Macaca mulatta: one gene and its partners. The protein of the gene in region 2 purifies or fractionates together with the protein of the main gene of each other region. This does not show direct contact. Links are inferred from orthologs where the notes say so. Each region holds a gene or a part of one and is shown on either strand. Other genes may lie near its edges.

Region 1 (4,093 bases), on a different chromosome or scaffold from region 2:
ATTTATATTTTGGAGAAAAGTTGTGACTGGGAATTACTAAACTTCATTCACTCATTCAGCAAAGAGTTCATGATAACAGATGAGACTTCTCAGCCTTAAGGGACCGTTAGAGACCATCTAGCATGACCCTCCTTTTCTTGTTTTTGAGATGGGAGTCTTGCTCTGTCGCCCAGGGTGGAGTGCACTGGTGTGGTCTGGCTCACTGCAACCTCCGCCTCCTGGTTCAAGTGATTCTCCTGCCTCAGCTCCGAGTAGCTGGGATTACAGATGCCCACCACCATGCCCGGCTAATATTTTTTTTTTTTTTTTTTTTTTTTTGAGATGGAGTCTCACTCTGTCACCCAGGCTGGAGTGCAGTGGTATGATCTTAGTTCACTGCAATCTCCGCTTCCAGGTTCAAGTGATTTTCTTGCCTCAGCCTCCCAAGTAGCTGGGATTACAGGTGTGTGCCACCACACCTGGCTAATTTTTGTATTTTTACAAATACTCCAGCTCTGTCTCCAAGCTGGAGTGCAGTGGCACCATCTTGGCTCATTGCAATCTCCACCTCCAGGGTTCAAGCAATTCCCTGCCTCAGGCTCCGGGGTAGCTGGGATTACAGGCGCCCGCCACCACGCCTGGCTAATTTTTGTATTTTTAGTAGAGATGGGGTTTCACCACCTTGGCCTGGCTGGTCTTGAACTCCTGACCTTGTGATCCACCCGCCTCGGCCTCCCAGAGTGCTGGGATTACAGGCATGAGACGGGCTTTCACCATCTTGGCCAGGCTGGTCTGGAACTTTTGACCTCAGGTGATCCGCCCGCCTTGGCCTCCCAAAGTCCTGGGATTGATTATAGGCGTGAGCCACCGCGCCCGGCCGTCACCCTTTTCTCATACATGAGGAGATGAGGCTCAAAGAGGAAGCTGGACGCCAGGGCCTCGGCAAATGGACCTCCCCTTCGGTCCTCATCAGGCTGCTCCCTCCTGGGCTCTTCCCCGATACCGGGTGGGGAACGCTCTCCACCTGCAGGGCCAGCTGACCCTCTTGGGCCAGTTCCCTAGCTGCCCGCTGGGCGCCGCCCTCGCCACCCGGCCCGAGGACCCGCGCAAGGTGCCCGTGGCGGCGCCTGACGGGAGCGCGGTGCCCGGGGGCGTCCTCTCGTCCTGCGTCCGCGCCCAGCGCCCCGCGCCCTGCGCTGTTCCTCGTGAGAGCGGCTGGCGGCTGGCGGCGGGCGGCGCGGCCCCCGGGGCAGTGTCGGACACGGTGGTGTGCGTACACGCAGGCGGGGCCAGGCCGCCCCCGCCAGGACCCGCAGGCCCGGAAACTCTCCCTGTCACAAAGGGGGGAACACGTGGGCGCCGGCTGCCGGGGCGGCGATCTCAGGGAACTAGGGTCACCTGGAGAGCCGCCCACCATCTCTGCCCGCTCGACTCCTCCGCCCCGGCCGCCCGGCCGGTCCAGCCGCGGCCGGCGCCTGGCTGTGAGGTGGATTCCCGGTCCAGTCTTACCATCTCCCTCCAGTACGTACACGCGGCTCGAACCCGCGTCCAACCAGACGCCGACCGGCTCCTGAGAGTCTTCCACACTCCCCGAAGCCTCGCGATCATGGATAGTCCCTCTTCCCCAGGAGCTCCCTACTGTCACTGCTCCTCTGAGAGCCAGGTCTTTGGCTCCTGACAGCCTGCCTGGTCAGACCCTCAGTCCTGGGGGACTCGGGTGTCTGCGGCGGAGGAGCTCCTGTGAGGGTCCCCTCTCTACTCAAATATAGGACCCACCTGGATCCCTCAGTCATCCCCTGTCTCTCTTTCTTCTTAGGTTTTTCTACTTCGTTCGGACCCTCTCATAACTATGTCCATCCTCTACGTCTCCCCTCACCCAGATGCCTTCCCCAGCCTCCGAGCCCTCATAGCCGCTCGCTATGGGGAGGCTGGGGAGGGTCCCGGATGGGGAGGAGCCCACCCCCGCATCTGTCTCCAGCCGCCCCCGACTAGCAGGACTCCCTTTCCCCCACCCCGCCTGCCGGCCCTGGAGCAGGGGCCCGGTGGACTCTGGGTGTGGGGGGCCACGGCTGTGTCCCAGTTGCTGTGGCCTGCAGGCCTGGGAGGCCCAGGGGGCAGCCGGGCTGCTGTCCTCGTCCAACAGTGGGTCAGTTACGCCGACACGGAGTTAATACCAGCTGCCTGTGGAGCAACGCTGCCGGCCCTGGGCCTCCGAAGCTCGGCCCAGGACCCCCAGGTGAGGGGGTTGTACAGAGGGGGAGGGGAGAAATTCAGAGGAGGGAAGCGAGGACTGGAATGGACAGTGAGACAAGAAGGTAGCACATCAGATGTGGGAAAAGAGTGATCAAATCCCAGATTGCCAACCGGTATGGTAACCCTGGGCACGCTTCATAAACCCGCTGTGTCTTGGTCGTCCTATGTCTATGAACACACAGGCAAGTTGATGTAATGCTTGCCTCACTGAGTTAATAGGATTAAAAGATGTGCGCAGAGCACATAGTTTAGTGCCGGGCACTTTTAAAGTCTCTTAGTAAAAGTTTGATGAGTCTGAAATTGATGAGGATAGAAATTATTTGAATTGCAGGAAAAGACTGGGTGAGGGAGAGATGACAATTGCTGGGAGGAGATAAAAGAGAAATGAAATGAGGAAGGGAAGTGAGAGGAGAGATAACCCTGCCAGATTGTAACTATCAGTCCTTCCAAAGGAGACCTGAGCCTTGGTGTACTTTCAACTCCACCTCCTTGCATGGTGTTGAGCACATGATAGGAAATTAGTATTTATTGAATGGATGAATGAATGCGACAGACCCTGACTTGCTCCCTCATGTTGTGATCACCCTATAGAGTCCTTACATTCAGAATGTCTGTCCAAACAAACAAATAAAATAGAGTTCCTCTCTCCTGGAATTCCCTGTTCCCCTCTTTTTTTTCTTTTCTTTTCTTTTTTTTTTTTTTTAGACTGAGTCTCCTTCTGTTGCCCAGGCTGGAATGCCGTGGTGCGATCTCAGCTCACTGCTCAAGTGATTCTCCTGCCTCAGCGTTCTGAGTAGCTGGGATTACAGGCGCTTGCCACCTCGCCTGGCTAATTTTTTGTGTTTTTAGTGGAGATGGGGTTTTGTCATGTTGACCAGGGTCTTGAACTCCTAACCTCAGATTGTCTGCTCGCCTCGGCCTCCCAAAATGCTGAGATTACAGGCGTGAGCCACGGCGCCCGGCCCCTGTTCCCCTCATTCTGCTTTATTTTTCTTCATAGGAGTTAAGAAAAATATGGCATGGGTTTTTTTTGTTTTTTTTTGTTGTTGTTGTTGAGACGGAGTCTCGCTCTGTTGCCCAGGCTGGAGTACAGTGGCATGATCTCAGCTCAATGCAAGCTCCATCTCCCGGGTTCACGCCATTCTCCTGCCTCAGCCTCCCTAGTAGCTGGGACTACAGGTGCCTGCCACCATGCCTGGCCGATTTTTTTGCATTTTTAGTAGAAGCAAGGTTTCTCCCTGTTAGCCAGGATGGTCTCGATCTCCTGACCTCATGATCCCCCCGCCTCAGCCTCCCAAAGTGCTGGGATTACAGGCGTGAGCCACCAGGCCCGGCCCGAGCACTGCATTTTATATTCGCTCATTTGTTGTTCCCCTACAAGAATGTTAACTCTACCAGGTCAGGGCTCTGTCTATCTGTTCGTGTTGTCCTCTCATTCTCTGGAGAAGTACTTAAATATTTATTGATGTCCTGAACCTGGCAGTTATTGAGTTGCCTCATATAATCTTTACTTCTATGCTTAACATATTGCATCTAACACATAAGTATTGAGTTTCATTTGCTGGATGAGTCAGAAGTATTTTTATTATGACTACTTGAGTGAAGAAATGGGACTCAGAGGTGGTGATTTGTTGGAGTGGGGTGGAGGGAGGCCAAAAGGAGGGTTGTGGTGGGAGATGGAGGCGGGCCAAACCTTGTCTCACACCTCTTCCCCTTCCTGCCAGGCTGTGCTGGGGGCCCTGGGCAGGGCCTTGAGCCCCTTGGAGGAGTGGCTTCGGCTGCACACCTACTTGGCCGGGGAGGCCCCTACTCTGGCTGACCTGGCGGCTGTCACAGCCTTGCTGCTGCCTTTCCGATACGT
Region 2 (4,087 bases):
CCTCACACCTGCCAGGGGGCCTGGTAGGGGTCCAGTCTCTGGGGATCCCCATGGCTTTACCCAGTGGCAGGTGCTGGGCCCGACCCAGGCCCTCCATGTCAACACTCAGTGGGCACTCAGGGCTGACGGGACAGGTGCCAGGGCTCTGCCCCCACTCAGCACACACCCCCCGAGACCCTGCTGGCAGGAAGATCCGAGTAGGGGGGGCAGCGTGGGAGGGAAGATGTGAATACCCGGGTGAGACCACAGGATCTTGGGGTCTGGGAGGAAGCCCCTGACCTTGGTCTTCACACAACACATGGCCGCCACATCCCCTTCCTCACATCCCACGTTGGTCATTACCCGCGGGTGCCCAGGACCTCAGGGACTCCCCACTTCCTACAGAGCGTGGCCCGGTCTTTGGCTTGGCATCCTGACCCCATATGAGGACAGCCGCAAGGCGCTGAGGTGCAGCGGGGTGGGCGCTGGGCGGGGGCCTGGGTCTGTCTGGATCTGACTCGCCCTTGGCTGGCGCTGTTTCCCAGCAGCAGCCGGCAGTAGGCGCCCCCGGAGGGCAGGGTCCCTGGAAGATGTCAGTGGGTCTGGGAGCGGGCTTCCGGCGTTCCCTGCACCGTGGGACCAGCCTCTCCGGGGAGGGTGGTTCTGCGCCGGATCCTGGGGGCCTGTCATGGTGCGCCCAGGAGGGCAGGCACGTGAGGACAGGGGCTGGAAACCAGCAGATTCCGGGGTTCCACCCTGAGACCTGCACCCTCTGGCCTCACTAGGGAGAGCCCCTCAGAGCCGGGCTTCGGGGGTTCTTGGGCGTCCCTCATGAGCAGCCGGGGAGGGGCCGGTAGACCCAGGCTCGTCTCCCAGGCTGCAGCGCAGCTGTTCCCCTCCCCCGCCTGCCGGCTCCGGTCCTCGGCGTCTGCCCCGTCCCCGGGGACCGCTTTTCGCGGCTGAAGCGTGTTCCTGCCCCGAGCCGGCTCTCGCCCCGTCTCCCGGGTCCGCCGCGCTCTCCCAGCGCGGTCTCCATCCCCGTCCCTCCCTCCCGCCGCCTCCCCGCCCTGCCCCCCGCCCCGCCCCCGCCCGCTGCGCGTTTCTCTCCCGCCTCCCGCGTCCGTCTTTGCAGCCCGCGCCTCCCGCATCCCCTCGCGTCCCCGTGGCGCCCGCCCGCGCGCGTCCGCGCCCCGCCCCCTCCCGCGCGGTTCCGCATTGGCGTGCTGCAGGGCGCGGTGCACTGCGCCGCCACCGTCAATAGGTGGACCCCCTCCCGGAGATAAAACCGCCGGCGCCGGCGCCGCCAGTCCCTCTGGCTGAGACCTCGGCTCCGGGTAAGGACGCTCGGCCCCCGGGCCTCCGCCCCCGTCCCCGTCTTCCGAAGAGGGACCCCCGGGGCCGGTCCCGCGGGGCAGAGGGCGGCCGGGCCCGGCACCCACACCCGCCCCCGCGCGCGCCCGGATTCCGGCTCCCGGGGGTCCCCGCGTCGGCCGGGCTGGGCCGGGGGTGGGGGGCGGCGCGGGGCGGCGCGGGGCGGCGGGGCCGGGTCCTGGGCGGCGATCTCCCCGTAGCCATGACCTTGGGGCCGCGGGGACCCTGCGGGCTGGGGGCAGCGTCTTCAGTGCCAGGGGCTGATGGGGGTCGGGCTTCGGGGCGCTGGGCCAGAGGACGCTGAGGGAGGTGGTGAGATCTGGGGGCCCTGGCCTCCCCACCCCCACCCGTGTTCCCACCCCGGGGTGGCTTCTATCCTCTTTGCCTCCCCCAGCCGCCTGTCCCCGAGGAGCAGTGTGGGTTTCTCCACTGACCTCTGTGATGGGACGGGGCTGTGACCCAGGGCCCTGACCGGAGGGGAGGGGGGAGGGAGGGTGCCCCCTATATCCCCACCGGGCCGAGGGCATCTCCACCTGGCACTTGCTGGGCTTGGCTGGACCGGGTCCTCCTTCCTCAGGCTGGAACAGGGACCCCCACCTCCTGGCCACTGTCTGTCCCTGTGAGAGTCTGGGGGGGTGGCACGTAGAGCTATTCTGGGTCCCTAATCTGGGCAGCGCATCTCCGTCGGGGCTCTGGCCCAGCCTGCCGGGCAGGGATGAGGGGAAGATGGCGCCGTCCCTGCCTGAGGAGGGGAGTGGGGAGCAGTGGCCATCTCTCCCGGTGGCAGCGGGTGGGGGTGGGGCGCTGTGTCCCTGGCCCTGCTGCCGGGGAGGGGAGCGAGCGTGGAGGACAGGGCCCTGGAGCACTGGGCAGGTGACTCATCACCCTGCTTTGCTGGTCACGGACGTACCTAGCCTGGCACTGCGTGGTCCTTCCAAATGGTGGCTAACCCCTTCCCAAGGAGCGGCCCTGCAGGCTCCCAACGCCCAGTTATTTACAGCAGATGGGGCTGCTTGGGCTCAAGTGTGGGGTGGCGGCAGTGTACAGCCTCTACTTGCCCTGGCCAGGCCCAGCTGTGGGTGGGGGCCCTTCCCTCCCCACCAAACATGGGGGCTTGGTTTGTGGGCAGAGATGTGTGCCCAGCCTGTGCCAGGACAGTCTCTGCTGGTCTCTCCCCCCTGGGCTCCCCATCACCTGTCTCCCCCCCACTGCTGGCACCACAGAATCACTGCAGCCCCCCCCTCGCCCCGAGCCAGAGCACCCCGGGTCCCGCCAGCCCCTCACACTCCCAGCAGAATGGGCAAGGAGAAGACCCACATCAACATCGTGGTCATTGGCCATGTGGACTCTGGCAAGTCCACCACCACGGGCCACCTCATCTACAAGTGCGGGGGCATCGACAAAAGGACCATCGAGAAGTTCGAGAAGGAGGCAGCTGAGGTGAGCTCCGGGGGCTCTGGTCTTGGCCCCCTGAGAAGGAACCCCCAACTCCTGTGGTGGCCAGGCTTGGCATCTCCCAGCCCCAGGACATGTGGTTCAGGAGACCTCCAGGGCAGGAGGGACCCCTGCTGTGGGGCACTCAGGCCTCAGAGGGTCCAGTGGGGCAGCCTCTCTTGCAGAGAGCTTGGTGGGGGAGGGGTGGCCATCGAGCTGCCGGACTTGCCCTGTGGTGAGGGAGGTGACCTGGGAGGGTCCACAGAAGGCTCTGGAACTCTGCCACATTGAGCTGGGGCTGGAGGGCCCTACAGCCTTGCCCCCTTCCCCCCAGGGCCAAGGCTGGGGCTGGAGGTGGTGCTGCCCTCACTTGTCCCAGGGCCCTGCCAGGACGCACGCTGCTATTAATAGCTGATTGATGGGCAGCCGGCCCGTCTGCTCCATTTTCTTGTGCTGGGCTGTGGAGGGCTGCTGTCCAGTGCACCCCTGGGGTGGGGGTCCTGGATGAGGCGGCCCTCTGGCTGACCTTTTGAAGCGGTTCCTCTTTGGTGGCTGAGACAGTGGTGGGGAGCGGCCATGAGTCAGGGTCTGCTCTCTGGTCCCCCTCCCTTGCCCAGGGCTCTGGGGAGAAGCCCACTTCTGGGAGGGCCTGTGGGAGCTCTCACCTGGATGATGAAGGTGGAGGCCAGGGCCTGGGGAGGGGGGCACTCGCTGTCCTGGGCTGAGTCTCTGCCCTGGTGAGGTGGGTGCTCTGAGCTGCACCCCTGAGTTTGGGCTGCATCACCCTTTACCTAGCCTCGTCGGGAGAAGGCGGGGGTTTCAGAGGGCCGCTGGTTCAGGCCCCAGCTGGGTCCCGTCTGGGTCCCCTCCAGGCTGGGCAGCCTCTTGGAGGGCAAGAGTCCAGTCTGTGCAAGGCCCTGGTGGGGAGCTATGCCCAGCTGGGTAGTGACCATCGCTGTTGCCCTGACTGCAGCCCGTCCCCTCCTGTGGGGGTCTCACTGGCTGAGGCCCCCCAGCTTCCCGTGACCGGCAGAGCGAGGAAGGGGAGGAGAAGCCTCAGGGGGGTGGGGAGGCTGGAGCATCGGGAAGGATCGGTGCAGCCAGGGCCTCCTCCTGACCTCATTCCGTTTTCCCTTCTCCTCACCTTAAAATAAAATAACACCGAGGGTTATTTATCTGACAGCCCCAAACACGGTGGTATTATTGGCCTCTGGCTGAGGAAGGGATCTGGGGGCGTCCGCAGCTTCAGATAAAGGGGAGCCCTGGCGGGGGAGGGGTTTATCCCATCTGGCGGCTTCGCTGG
Region 3 (4,140 bases), on a different chromosome or scaffold from region 2:
CACAGCCCCTCCCCTCTTGACACTGGCAGTGACCTCGGACTGAAATGTTCTTCCCTGGCCCCTCCTTATCCTTCAAATCTTGGCTTCGAAGCCTTTTCTCAGTTTCATTGACCAGCCTATCTAACATTTCCTGACGATTCCCCAGAATATCACCCATTTTATTCTTCTTTACGGACTCATTTCTGGCTCGTAGTAAACGTTCAGTAACTGTTAAGTGAACTGAATCTCTAATTTCTGGTCGTTAATTTGTAGGGACCACTTTCCCGGATTTAAAAAGTGCAGGTGCTCTGGCAGCGTTAAGTCGGTGAAAACAAGACTATTCCGCAAAACAAAAATAACCTGTTTATTCATCAAAAAGTTATTGTTACACTTCTATACTGTCAATTCGTGTGTGAAGTTGTGTCTGATCCAAGACCTCACAGTACAAGCATAGATCCCAATAACTTGTAAACAATATTTTGTTATTCGCAATGCAACCCTGAGCTAACTTTTCAAAAAGTCATTTTTCTCAATTTCCCGTTAGTGAAAGGAATTTAAAAATTCTGTCCAACGTGGTCAATGGACAAAACAAATAAGGACAACAGAAGCGTGAGCCACTGCTAACACAACAGCGACCAAACAATCATGTACTGTACCAGGCGTGTAAAAATCTGGGGGAAAAGGCTCAGTCTTAAGGCTTAAGTCATCGGACACTGGTCCTCTACCGGGGAATAAAACGGCCTCCTCTGAGAGGGGAATGTCCTGAATTTTCCCTGCAGAGGGAAGGTCACCTACAAGCCCGCATTCGGGCCAGCGCTCCCGAGGGCCCCCTAATCCTCATCTTCCTTTCTGCTCCATCAGACCAGAGACCGTGGCTAAAAGCCCCACTTGCCGGCTCTCAGAGGCTTCCGAGGCGGCGGGGCGGGAGGCGGCTCCCAGTCAAGGACAAGAGAAGACTAAGTCGCGTGGGCCAAAGGAAACAGTCCCGTCAATAAATAAGCCTCTGACCCATGCACCTCACCCTTCCCATCCATACAAGACCTCACCTTCTCCCCGGAGCCGCGGAGGCTGTTCTGCTAAACTGTCTGGACCACAACTACCCCCTTGGAGGCCGGGTCGCTTACTCAATATGGCGGCCTCAGCTAACTCTGTCAGCCGGGCCTGGAGAACGGAAAGCCCGGAGGGACTAGAATCCTTGCATTCGATAAGTTTGTCGGCAATTTCCGTCAGCCGACCAGAGGGCGGAGCTGAGGTCGGCCCAGCCCGGAGGCGGGAAGGACAACTTGGACCCGCAGTTCCGCCGGAAGTGGCCGGCAGCCTCGAGGCCGAGCGTCTTCGGTCATCTCCGGCGCTTCTAGGGGCGGTTCCCGTCATCTTCGGGAGCCGTGGAGGTATGAACTTAAGACATGCCCATTTTATTAATTTATTTCCAAACGCAACGAAAGATCCAGGGACAATTTGTGAGCCGTTTAATTCAGGGCCCCCAATTCGTACGTGGAGAAGTGGGAATGCTAACGTACTTTGACCTTTAACCTTCGGTCCGGCGTGGTGGAGGGAAACGCCTCCGTCTCTATATAAGGAATTTTCCGGCTTCTCCGGGCCCTTTTTCCTCTCTTAAGCGCGGGGAGCCCACAACTTGTGCGCTCTCTTTCTGCTGTTTCCCAGCTCTCGGATACAGCCGACACCATGGGTTTCGGAGACCTGAAAAGCCCCGCCGGCCTCCAGGTGCTCAACGATTACCTGGCGGACAAGAGCTACATCGAGGGGTGAGCGGACCGGCTGAGTCGGGGTGGTGGAGGGGTTTCTGGGACCGGGGCCGGGGCCACGTGGCGCAGCGTGTCGGCTGCCGCTGGAGGGAGGGAGACGGGGCCCCAGGGCCCTTTCGAGGATGACGGGAAAGCGCCCCGTGGCCATCTCCCAAGGCCCTCGTGTGGTGCGAGCCCGGCCTCCGGGGAGCGGCTCACGAGCAAAGGAAGGTTAAAATGTGCTTTATTTACACTTAATTCAGCCAGGTGTTTCCACATCGCTGCCCAGTTAATACATGTTAGGTTGTAGATAGAGCAACGTTAGAGATTGCAGTATTTGAGGTCTGCAGACATTTCTCAGGATAGCGCGGTGACCCAAACATATGGTTTGATTTTAAGGAGATAATAAGAAAAGAAAAGCATTAAAGCAACCCTACTGGAGTTAGTGCCCACTAATTAATGTGATGCATAGGCACTGATTATTTATTCGCTGGCGTTTGTTTTTCAAAGGTGTGTGTGAATGTCTCTGTGTCATTGGCAGGTATGTGCCATCACAAGCAGATGTGGCAGTATTTGAAGCCGTGTCCGGGCCACCGCCTGCTGACTTGTGTCATGCCCTACGTTGGTATAATCACATCAAGTCCTACGAAAAGGAAAAGGCCAGGTAAAATCATCTTTGTATCTAGCTGAAGAATAAGACTACTCTCGAAGCTTTATCAGGATGTTCACATGACAAAACTAGACCCAGGCTACTTTAGTTTTGTTGGGGTATTGTAAGCTAAATTTTTCTGTAACCTGAGAAGGCCAAGAGACTGAAGCCCTCCATTTTTTCACAGAACAGGTAGAACATGGACAGCAGCAATTCAACTTTTCCCCACACTGCCCTGCCAATGTGCCTCGACCTTGACCTGGGGGGCCCACCTCTGGGGTGAGAGGGTGGCTCATTCATTCAGTCCTTGGCCATTCTTCTGAAACTGCCAACAAGGGTGGAAGTTTGGGGAAGTGGACTCCAGTTCACTAAGAATGGAACTGAGCATACTTAATGAAATCTCAAACAGAAATGTTCATACTGAAAGAGTAAATCATAGTGAGTATTGAAAATAATGTCTCACATGGTACTAATGCTTGTCGGGTGAGGAGTTGAACATATGATAGTGTTTACCTGGGAGCATGTGAAAGGGTAAATTATTATTGCAAAAGGGATCTAGTGATAAGTAGTGATTAAAACAAGTTATTTTGTATTGTCTGGAAAAGTATGTTATACTAGCTCAATAGTGGTTGAATTTAAATGTTTTTCAAGCCTGCCAGGAGTGAAGAAAGCTTTGGGCAAGTATGGTCCTGCTGATGTGGAAGACACTACAGGAAGTGGAGCTACAGATAGTAAAGATGATGATGATATTGATCTCTTTGGATCTGATGATGAGGAGGTATGGCATCTTCTATAAAGAATATATCGGCCAGACACGGTGGCTCACGCCTGTAATCCCAGCATGTTGGGAGGCTGAGGCGGGTGAATCACGAGGTCAGGAGTTCAAGACCAGCCTGACCAAGATGGTGAAACCCTGTCTGTTCTAAAAATTTAAAAAAATGTGGCGGGTGTCTGTAATCCCAGCTACTCAGGAGGCTAAGGCAGAGAATTGCTTGAACCTGGGAGGCGGAGATTGCAGTAAGCCGAGATCATGCCACTGCACTCCAGCCTGGGCGACAGAGCAAGACTCCGTCTCAAAAAAAAAAAAGAATACATCGATCAGCAATTTTATCAATGTGGTTAAGCCAAATTGCCTGGATTTGAATCCTGGCTTTAACTTATATGCCTTTTTCAAATTCTGACTGGTTGCATGATGAATAAAATCAAATCACCATCTTTCGGCTGAGTTCGTGATGGATTTGCTTTTTTCTGATTAAGCCAGTCTTTTTTGTGATGACCCCACTAGCTTTAAGCAGATGACAACCGACTTTCTGAAGTGGATTAATTTTTTTTCTTTACAGGAAAGTGAAGAGGCTAAGAGGCTAAGAGAAGAACGTCTTGCACAATATGAATCAAAGAAAGCCAAAAGTAGGTCATTTGTTTTTAACTTCATTTCATGATAATGTAAGTAATCTTTTTCAAAGCTTGACCTTTAAGTAATTTCCTCCACATTCCTTGAACAGGTCAATATTTTAAAACCTCCTGTAGAAGTTCTTCCACAGCTACTGGTCTGCAGCTGTTCTTATGGTAGCAGTTGTGGCATTCCTCTGTGGGAAAGAAACTGTTAACACAAACACCTCTTTCTTAGCAAAACAGAAAGTGGGCATATGTGTGACAGACACAAGATGTATCTGTAGTTTTGTTTGGCTAAGGAGATAGTCAATCTCAAAACAAATTGAGGTGATTTGTTTGTGTCTTGGAGTAAGGTAAAAAAATACAGTTCATTAT

Evidence for each region. The genes of interacting proteins can lie anywhere in the genome.
Region 1: the proteins of EEF1A2 (region 2) and VARS1 purify together in Homo sapiens (co-immunoprecipitation; 3 studies listed by BioGRID and IntAct, counting the BioPlex papers as one, with this or other methods). This does not show direct contact. The link is inferred for Macaca mulatta from reciprocal best matches to the Homo sapiens genes EEF1A2 and VARS1.
Region 3: the proteins of EEF1A2 (region 2) and EEF1B2 purify together in Homo sapiens (co-immunoprecipitation; 4 studies listed by BioGRID and IntAct, counting the BioPlex papers as one, with this or other methods). This does not show direct contact. The link is inferred for Macaca mulatta from reciprocal best matches to the Homo sapiens genes EEF1A2 and EEF1B2.

What each region holds. Positions count from the first base shown.
Region 1 is NC_133409.1:150,522,938-150,527,030, forward strand, and holds the start of VARS1 (valine--tRNA ligase), read left to right. Parts: upstream 1-1,293; 5' UTR 1,294-1,500; intron 1,501-1,795; 5' UTR 1,796-1,828; coding exon 1,829-2,215; exon of another isoform or gene 2,216-2,281; intron 2,282-3,850; exon of another isoform or gene 3,851-3,908; coding exon of another isoform or gene 3,909-3,956; coding exon 3,957-4,091; intron 4,092-4,093. UniProt on the Homo sapiens protein: Catalyzes the attachment of valine to tRNA(Val).
Region 2 is NC_133415.1:116,360,600-116,364,686, reverse strand, and holds the start of EEF1A2 (elongation factor 1-alpha 2), read left to right. Parts: upstream 1-1,287; 5' UTR 1,288-1,313; intron 1,314-1,691; coding exon of another isoform or gene 1,692-1,877; exon of another isoform or gene 1,878-1,892; intron 1,893-2,573; exon of another isoform or gene 2,574-2,645; 5' UTR 2,646-2,646; coding exon 2,647-2,790; intron 2,791-4,087. Other genes in the region: PPDPF (pancreatic progenitor cell differentiation and proliferation factor), read right to left, coding at 1,692-1,877. UniProt on the Homo sapiens protein: Translation elongation factor that catalyzes the GTP-dependent binding of aminoacyl-tRNA (aa-tRNA) to the A-site of ribosomes during the elongation phase of protein synthesis.
Region 3 is NC_133417.1:111,412,082-111,416,221, forward strand, and holds the start of EEF1B2 (elongation factor 1-beta), read left to right. Parts: upstream 1-1,340; 5' UTR 1,341-1,665; coding exon 1,666-1,745; intron 1,746-2,265; coding exon 2,266-2,388; intron 2,389-3,024; coding exon 3,025-3,151; intron 3,152-3,554; exon of another isoform or gene 3,555-3,633; intron 3,634-3,713; coding exon 3,714-3,780; intron 3,781-3,906; exon of another isoform or gene 3,907-4,036; intron 4,037-4,140. UniProt on the Homo sapiens protein: Catalytic subunit of the guanine nucleotide exchange factor (GEF) (eEF1B subcomplex) of the eukaryotic elongation factor 1 complex (eEF1).